2 linked regions of the Coturnix japonica genome follow. Each later gene encodes a partner of the first gene's protein in a complex. Links are inferred from orthologs where the notes say so. Each region holds a gene or a part of one and is shown in the gene's direction. Other genes may lie near its edges. The genes, in order: NRXN1 and LRRTM2.

Evidence for each region.
Region 2: the proteins of NRXN1 (region 1) and LRRTM2 are in contact, whole or in part, in a crystal structure (PDB 5Z8Y), measured with the Homo sapiens proteins. The link is inferred for Coturnix japonica from reciprocal best matches to the Homo sapiens genes NRXN1 and LRRTM2. Residues at the interface, in NP_001317021.1 of Homo sapiens: Leu139, Val158, Thr160, Arg236, Gln237, Leu238, Thr239, Ile240, Asn242; in NP_056379.1 of Homo sapiens: Asp343, His344, Gln346, Gly347, Glu348, Leu351, Asp352, Ala353, Gly356, Phe357.

The regions. Positions count from the first base shown.
Region 1 is NC_029518.1:8,251,317-8,255,598, forward strand, and holds the start of NRXN1 (neurexin-1), read left to right. Parts: upstream 1-1,411; 5' UTR 1,412-1,503; exon of another isoform or gene 1,504-1,606; intron 1,607-1,664; exon of another isoform or gene 1,665-1,681; intron 1,682-4,282.
Region 2 is NC_029528.1:14,092,064-14,096,597, reverse strand, and holds the start of LRRTM2 (leucine-rich repeat transmembrane neuronal protein 2), read left to right. Parts: upstream 1-1,532; 5' UTR 1,533-2,245; coding exon of another isoform or gene 2,246-2,271; coding exon 2,272-2,275; intron 2,276-2,608; coding exon 2,609-4,152; 3' UTR 4,153-4,534. UniProt on the Homo sapiens protein: Involved in the development and maintenance of excitatory synapses in the vertebrate nervous system. Regulates surface expression of AMPA receptors and instructs the development of functional glutamate release sites.

The DNA.
Region 1 (4,282 bases):
CACACAGCCCCAGCCCTTGCTGTGGTCGGGGCTCCCCCTTACCAAATCAGACTGCCCAGGGCCCATCCAACATGGCCCTGGGCACCTCTGGGGATGGGACAAAGAGCATTAGAAGTGTTATCATTTTTTTAACCACAAGCAAAGTAAAAATTAGGCCACAATTAGGAAATAGTATTGTTTTGGTTTTTTTTTTTCCCCCACATAAAATGTATATCATGAGTACTAATTTTTATCAGTTTGCAATTTTGCTCCTGTAAAAAAGTGTTTCCCTTTTTGTTATTGCTGAAGCCTATAATTTATATTCTTTTCATAGCAGGAGAGAGATTTGCTCCTTGTTCTGTTTGCACAGGTCAAGTTATTAGAATTGTCAAGAGAAAATCTCACTCTTTATTTGAAAATAACTGGATATGGGTATCATCTGGCTGAATAAAAAGGAAGTTTGATGATGCTACACGTACTGAAGATATGTAGCATGTCTAGCAAGCTTTTATTCTTGTTGCTTGGTTATTTCACCAAACTTATTATCTGTGAGGATGCCTGATTCATTAAAGAAGATCATAAGGCTAACTCCTCTGCGACTGAGCTGGGAGAGCGAGGGCTTTTTACCACAGTTCTGTAGTTTTCAGCTCAAAACTAAATCACTATGTGTTGTTTTCAGCTTGGAAAACAAAAAGTATGGCTGCACACACCTTAATAGAAAGGGATGCTGGGGGTGCTCTTGTGATTCCTTGAGTGTGACAGCATCATTCCGGAGTCCGAAGAGTTGTAAGAACCTTGGCTGGGGTACAGGCAGCTCCCAGCCAGCACCCTTCTCCTGGCCATTGAGTACAAAGACTGCAGGCCACCATCTGGACACAACTGGATGTGTTTGATATGACACAGTGCCTTCCAGGTGGCTCAACCCAACCATCTCAAGAGTCCCTAAATTTTTCTCAACAGTTTGTGAGCACTGGGCAACAACATACATTCAAACAGGTTTAACACAATGCCAGACAGAACCCAGACTTTCCAACAGACTCCCCGTGTGGCCCGGAAGGTATCCTTCAGTTAGAAGTCATCACCTGTATTATCCCACAGGCCAACGCATACACCAGAAAGCTTCGGCTCTAGAACCATCCAACCAAGCAGCACACCCCACGCAAAGCAGCGGAGTGGCGGGGATGGAGCCGGCAGAGATGCCCCAGCCAGCGAAGCAGATGGGAGAGCACCAAGTCAACGCTTCGTCCTCGGCGGCGCGCACCTCTCCGGGCCGTGCCCGCTGCAGTGCAGAGCCTCGGGGCGCGGCGGGCCCGGGGCGGGGCGGGCCGGGGTCTGCAGCGAGCGCGGCACCGCCCCCGGCGGGCAGACGGGCGCGGCGGCGTCACGCGGCGGCACCGCCCCCCGCTCCCGGCGGCCGCCCCCGCCCGCTGCCGCCGCCGCGCACCCGCAGCAGCGCCCGCTCCGTCGGCGAGCGGCAGAGGCAGCTCCGGCCGCGCCTGCCCCGGCCCGCGGCACCCCGCGCAGGTAAGGCGTGTCCGCGGTGCGGGCAGAGCGGTGCCGGGGAGGACGAGCCCCGCTGTGCCGCTGCGGAAGGAGGAGGAAGAGGAGAAGGAGGCGCGAGAGGCTGGTGGGTTCGCATGCGGCGTTGTGGGAAGGTAGATGGCGGGGAGCAGAGATGGAGGAGCGGAGGGAGAAGTTAAAGGTTGGATGCGGCTATTCCTCCCGTGCCAAAGCGGGTGGGGGGTTGTATCCGTGTGAGCGGAGGGATGAATCAATGTGCTGCATGTTTTCCCTCGCGGGAGCTGCTCGGGTGCATCGCGAAGCGATGGGGATGCGTATCGCCATGGGATCGCTGTGTGCTGGCGGCGGGCTGGGATGGGCGAGGGGCTTGTGCAGGAAGTGCATGGGCAATTTGGGACATTTGCTATTGTGAGGGAGAAGAAAGAGGGCAGGCGGCTGCCTTGGTGCGTTCGGAACCGCGCGGGTTCCTGCTGATGGTGTGCATTTTTGAAGGAGGAGAAATTCTATCACAAGCGTATTAAAATAAATACGTCTGCAGGCTGGAGAGGTAGCAAAATCGATCATTGCGGCCGCCTAGGAAAGAATTTGATTCTAGAAATTACGTAGAAACGGAGGGAAAAGATTAATGATGCCGCTAAGTCTGCTTTTGAATCGGAGCGCTTCCCCCTTTGGCTGCAGCAAGGTTGTTTTCCAGCTCCTTTCTTTTCAAACGGTAATTTGCGAACTCTCCGGGCTTCCCCGCTCCGGAGACAATGCCGAGCGCTGGGCACAATGAAGATCGTGCCGGGGCGGTGCGTGCCGCGACCTGCCGTTAGCCCGAGATTTATTGACCTCGGGGTGCTCCCTCTCGCCCGTTTGGAAAGGCTCCATCGGGGTACCTGGGATCAAATCATCGTTTTTAAAGGAAAAAATAATAATAATATATATATATATATATATATATAGGGTTATGGAGAGGTGGGGGAAGGATATTGATGCACTGGTGAGGCGCTGAAGGCGCTGCTCCGTTAGTGCTGCTTTGTGTATATTTCTCACTACATGCATGTGCGCACACATACAGTGCCGGGGGGGAGGCGGGAGGGGAGGGGAATCGGCTGGCAGTTGAGACCCCGGTTGAGGTATGTTACATGACCAAATCGTCCCCTCTTGGAAATGACAGTGTCCTTCTGCTTTGGAGATGGCGAGACCGTGTTGTGTACTGACTGTATGGATATCGGTAGTGATAAATAAGCAATTGTGGCTTTATTATTATTATTTATTTCCTCGGGTCTTCCTTCTATCCTCTTCAATCTTTCCATCTTTCTGCCTTCACCCTCTCCCTTTATTTTCTTTCATTATCGCTGTCATTCATTTCTTTCTCCCTTTTCCCCTCTCGCTGCCGCACCGCGGGCGGGGGCCGGGCGGCACCGCAGCCGGCGGCGGGGCGGCTCTCCTGGAGGGATCCCCACTCGGATGCTCTCCGCGGACACCTGTAGGGATCGCTCTGCACGCTCGGCGGCGCGCTCGCACCCCCCCACACACAGACACACACACACGCGCTCTCACGCACCCGTGCACGCGGGCGCGCTCGCTCCTGCCTCGCGGCACCTGCAAGCTACTGCTTTCCCTGAACACCCGCGCGTTCCCTCCCCACTCATCCCTCACCCTTGGGCCACGCGCCCACCTGCGGTCCCCCGCCCCGCCCCTCCCCCCCTCGGCACACGGACAGCCAGCCGATCCCTTTCTCTCGCCGCACCCTCTTGGTCTCTCCCTCCCTCCACCGTACGGTCGCACTACCCTCCCGTCCCCCGGGGCATCCCTGGTGCTCCCACTCGCGTTCAGCCCCCCCGTCCCCCACCAATGCGGGGAGCCCCGGGCGCAGGCGGCAGCCGCGGAGCCGCCGCCCCGTCGGGCCGCGCAGGGCGGAGCTGTTCGTGGTGCTGAAGCGGTGCCTGCCCGCCGCCGGCAGCTCTCCCGACGGCGCCGATATGCCCCAAACGCTCCCGCTGGGGGCCGGGGTTGCCTGCTTCCCTCGACGAGCTCTAATGGGCACCGCGTTTTTTGGGGGTGGGGGGCTGCCGGAAAACTGCTGGCAGCGGTATCAGAAGGGGAAAACCATGGGGCACGCCGATGCCCTGCAGTGCCCGGTGGTGATTGAGCACGGCTGGCCTCTGCCAGATGGGTTTGGGAGTTCTTCTAACCTCTAGGGATTCTTCTTGCTTCCCTTTCGCTGCTCTTGCCCGCCTGGCATGTGACAAATAATAAAAATAAACGTGTTGACATTTAGAGGAATGAAATTAAATATAAAGAGAGAGTAGGAGGTGACTTAGCGGCTTGGAATGTGTCAGGTGCAGGCAGCCGAGGTGTGTGCAGGTTTTGCCCCGGCAGGCACATCCCTGCCCCCTCTCCCCGCAGCAGACGCATACCCACACGCAGCACCCAGCACCCGGCAAGGTGGTTGGCAGCTCTGGCCGTGCTGTTCTGCCTGAGTGCTGCTGGCTGAGGGGAGGGAGGTGTCGGAGATCCTCTCCTCCATCAGATCTCTGCTTGCACACTTCTCCTAGAAAACACTGCGCGGCTTGGAGGAAGAAAAGAGAGGGGAGCCTCTCTGCTGAAGTGGTTTGAATGCAGAGACTGCTTTAAAGCAAGGGAATGAACTATGGCATATGTATTAATTTTAAAATGAGGAGTGTCCTTTTAAATAAGTGTGTCTGAGTAAACATACGTAAAATACTGCAGCCCATTTCAGAGGACTAACACCTGGGATTAACTGATCTGCATTGTGAATAATGTCAGCATCAGA
Region 2 (4,534 bases), on another chromosome or scaffold:
TGCTAAATAGCCCTTGTTTGGTTACAGGCCAGAGAACCAAGAGCTTCAGCAAAGCAGCAGCTCACCGTGTGCGAGCAGCAACTCCCAACTCCGTGCCAGATTACGCAACCTTCACGTGGGAGGAACCTACCAACAGGCATGGATGCGAAAAAGCAGAAGCCTTCCAAAAGGTACCCAAATTTGGCCACTCGGTAATAGTGCAAAGAGTGGCACAGCAGGGAACTAATTTTTCATCTCGGAGCTTTTTCAATTTTCTTAAATGACACCTTAGGAACATTCCTTAAAAGACTGTGTTATCATATTTATGCGCTATTAACATTCAGATCAGCGCTGGGGTCAGGACAGTGCACCAGATGAGTGCTGAGCAGCACAGCTACAGGCACGTCGCTGCTGTACTCCCCCAAGGCAACGGGCGGCTCAGGCTGGATTTCGGCTGCGTTCTTCCTGCACAGTGAATATTAACTATGGAGAAACTCTCGGAATAGGTCCGTGTCATTTCTTTACATGTGTTCCTTTCAGCCTGGAGCAAATGCTGAAATATTTACCGTGACAGAACAATTTAACACATTCACCTAGCACTGCCCCGTTTATCATTAAAAATAGTTAGGTTACTTATTTTTCTGTTCAGCTTTTGCCTTCCTTTGTGCTTTGTGTTCCCTCCATTTTACTTAACACCTCCCCTGTTGGGACAGCCACGGGTTGAGCACTGCAGCCAGGGACACAGCTCAAGTGTAGAACAAAGGAAGGAAAGCAGGGAGAAACCAGCAAGGCTGAGCTTAAATAAGGAACCAAAGTTTAATAATGAAGCTAAATGACCACGGACTTCTCAGAACCTCCTCTGGCACAATCCATCTCCATCCCTGTCAGCATGGGGAATTTGCTATTCTCAGCTCAGCTCCGTCCCGAGGTCATCACTGACACCTCCCTGCCACAGGGCAAACATCACCGAGCACCTCGTGCTGTGCGTCTCAAGGTGACAACAAAGTCCCACGGGAGAGTCTGCTCTGGACAGTGAGAGCCGCGATGTCCCAGCCTGCAGCCCAGGACCAGGCTGTGGCCCTGCAGGGCTGCTGGCACTACAGCACAGCTCAGGACTGTGCATGCTGGATGCAGCTCCTGCCATCACCATGGGTCCCAGCCCCTGTTCAAGGACTGTGAGCTGCAGGGAACCCCAGCTGTAAACGCAACCGGCTCTTCTGTATGCAGCAATAAGCGACACAAAAGCCAGGGTATAAAAAAAACAAAATTAAGATGGATTTCCTTGTTTCATAACTGCACGCTGTCAAGCAAGATTCCAATTAATTTTTTTTTTTCCTGTGCTTTAACGTAAGCTTTGCTTTCTCCCGACATTTCCCAGCACTCCAAACACATTTCTCACTGCAGGGACTCTGGGGCGCACTGCCGTCCCAAAAAGCACTGCCCTGCACTGCCCTGTGCTCCGCAGGGACCTCCAGCCGCCCCTCCTCCCTGCACAGTGCTGCTAATCAGCGCCCTCAGTCCAAGTGGGGCACACTTCACAGCCCTGAGCATCCCCAGTGCAGCCAGGCTGGACAGGCAGCCGGCAGCATTGAGGCTCCAGCTGCAGCTCTGTGCTGCCCTCAGTGCCAGCCCAACGCAGCCAGCAGGAATGCAGGGGGGGAGCGGGGCGGCGCGCGGCTCTCCTGCTCCTCACATCGCCGGGACGAAGGGCTCCGACAGTTGATTTTTTTCCCCCTCCTCAATCAGTGGTCTCAAACGCGACCACAGTATGCAGCACAATGCTTTAAAACAGCAAAGCTTCTGGAAAACCCAAACAAAAGGAACGTCACCGGGTGACGTCAGCCTATATACAGCCCTGCACGGTCGCAGCGCATAAGCAAACCCATTCTTGTGCCGCTTCCCTGAAAAGCTTTTCAGTAAATGCACTCATGCTACTCCAGGAGCTTCTCTCAGCAATAAGCCACCCATCTGCCATCAACAAGTTAGGACTAAAGGAACCCACAGCTGCGGAAAAAGAAAACGTGAGCTTCAATTAAACAGCCGAGCAGCCGCCGAGGAAGAAAACTTCTATTAAGCATCGACTTACAAACTGCAGCCCTGTCGGAGGAGATCACGCCGGCGCTTCCAAAAGGGATATTCTAAGCAAGCACGGTGGATTCAATTTTGCACTAATATCAAAGGACCCTAACGCGGTAAATTATTCACAGGCTGTCTCGCATTAGAGCCTTTCACAGACTCACCGTGTTGAGTCTCAAACTACGACTGAATGCAACCTCCAATGTACTCAAAAGAATGGGTAAGTGTGTGCCTTTCTCTCTCCCTTGTCTGATGAATGATGGCTGTGTGTGAAGGCAGCGGCGAGGTGCTTCAGCCCGCTTCGCTGGGGTGAGCCTTGCGAGAGGAATGTGTTCTGATTGTGACGCTGTAACCCTCCGTAATGCCGATAAAGACTCGTCCTAAGTGTAATAGCCGGTATTCTGTGTGTAGTACTAAGTTGTTTCTTGCATTTAGAATAAGCTTTTCGGAAATGCATGGAAATGTTATCTGCAGTGAAATCTTCCACCGTGATGTTCAAAGTATACTGATAAGGATATCCTATCTTGTTGTTTTCCTAAATTATATTCTGCAGGCTTACATTTCAAGTGGCCATTAGGGGCTCGTATGCTGGCAGCACTATATGCAATGAGCATGGTTTTAAAAATGCTGCCTGCCTTGGGCATGGCTTGTCCACCAAAATGTCGCTGTGAGAAGCTACTGTTTTACTGTGACTCTCAGGGGTTTCACTCAGTGCCAAACACCACTGAAAAGGGCTCTCTAGGTTTGTCACTGAGGCACAATTTTATTACTGAACTTGAAAGGGATCAATTTGCGAGCTTCAGTCAACTTACTTGGCTTCACTTAGATCATAATCAAATTGCAACAGTCAGAGAAGATTCTTTTCAAGGACTGTATAAACTTAAGGAATTAGTCTTAAGTTCCAACAAAATCTTTCATTTGCCCAACACCACTTTTAGCCAGCTGCTTAACCTGCAGAATTTGGACCTCTCTTTTAATCAGTTGTCCTCTCTGCACCCCGAGCTGCTCTACGGCCTCCGCAAGCTGCAGACCTTGCATCTGCGCTCCAACTCCCTGCGGACGATCCCCGTCCGCCTGTTCTGGGACTGCCGTAGCCTGGAGTTCCTGGATCTGAGCACAAACCGCTTGCGAAGTTTGGCTCGCAACGGCTTTGCGGGATTAATCAAGCTGAGGGAGCTGCACCTAGAGCACAACCAGCTGACAAAGATTAATTTTGCTCATTTCCTCCGGCTCAGCAGCCTGCACACGCTCTTCTTGCAGTGGAACAAAATTAGCAACTTGACGTGTGGGATGGAGTGGACCTGGGGCACCTTAGAAAAGCTCGATTTGACTGGAAACGAGATCAAAGCCATCGACCTAACAGTTTTTGAAACTATGCCTAACCTTAAAACCCTCCTCCTGGATAACAACAAGCTCAGCACGCTGGACTCCAAGATCCTGCGCTCGCTGCCATCACTCAGCACCGTGGGGCTCTCGGGCAATCTGTGGGAATGCAGCGCCCGGATCTGTGCGCTGGCCGCCTGGCTGGGCGCCTTCCGGGGCCGCTGGGAGCACCCCATCCTCTGCCACGGCCCCGACCACGCCCAGGGAGAGGACATCCTGGACGCCGTGCACGGCTTCCAGCTCTGCTGGAACGCATCCACTGCCGCCCCGTCCGCGGCGCCGACGGACGCTCCCACCACCGAGTACACGAAAGGAATCAGCTCCTCTCATTTCCATATGGGAGACAAAGAAATCCCCACCACGGCAGGCATGGTCGTCACCACCGAGGAACCCTTCCCGGAGCCAAACAATGCCATCTTCACTCAAAGGGTAATTACAGGGACAATGGCTTTATTGTTTTCTTTCTTTTTTATCATTTTTATAGTGTTCATCTCCAGGAAATGCTGCCCTCCCACATTAAGAAGAATTAGGCAGTGCTCAATGATTCAAAACCACAGGCAGCTCCGATCCCAAACGCGGCTACATATGGCAAACATGTCAGACCAAGGACCGTACAACGAGTACGAACCCACCCACGAAGGACCCTTCATCATCATTAACGGCTACGGACAATGCAAGTGTCAGCAGCTGCCATATAAAGAATGTGAAGTATAATACCTACAATTAAAGCAGATAAGTAACCTATTTTAAAATGGTAGGGGACCTACAGCAGAGTCTAATTTTTACAGATGCCGACACAAAGCCTAATTTTCCAAGCTACTCAATGGAAGAATCGTTTCTGGAGTGGTGTGGTATTTTTAAGTTGTTTTTTTTTTAAATAAATCCATGATATTTTCAGTGTTAAGGAAGCAATGATCACGTTCAACTTGCACTCCTAATGTTTAAAAGTCTAAAAAGATGCTCACCTCAAACTATGTAAAACGTTCTGTGTTATGTAACTCTCCGGCTGTGTGTACCATTTATACCCAAGTCTCCACTCTCCACTTTCCCCAGTAAAATCAGCCCGGGTGGAAGGAGGGAGGATGTCAGCACAGAG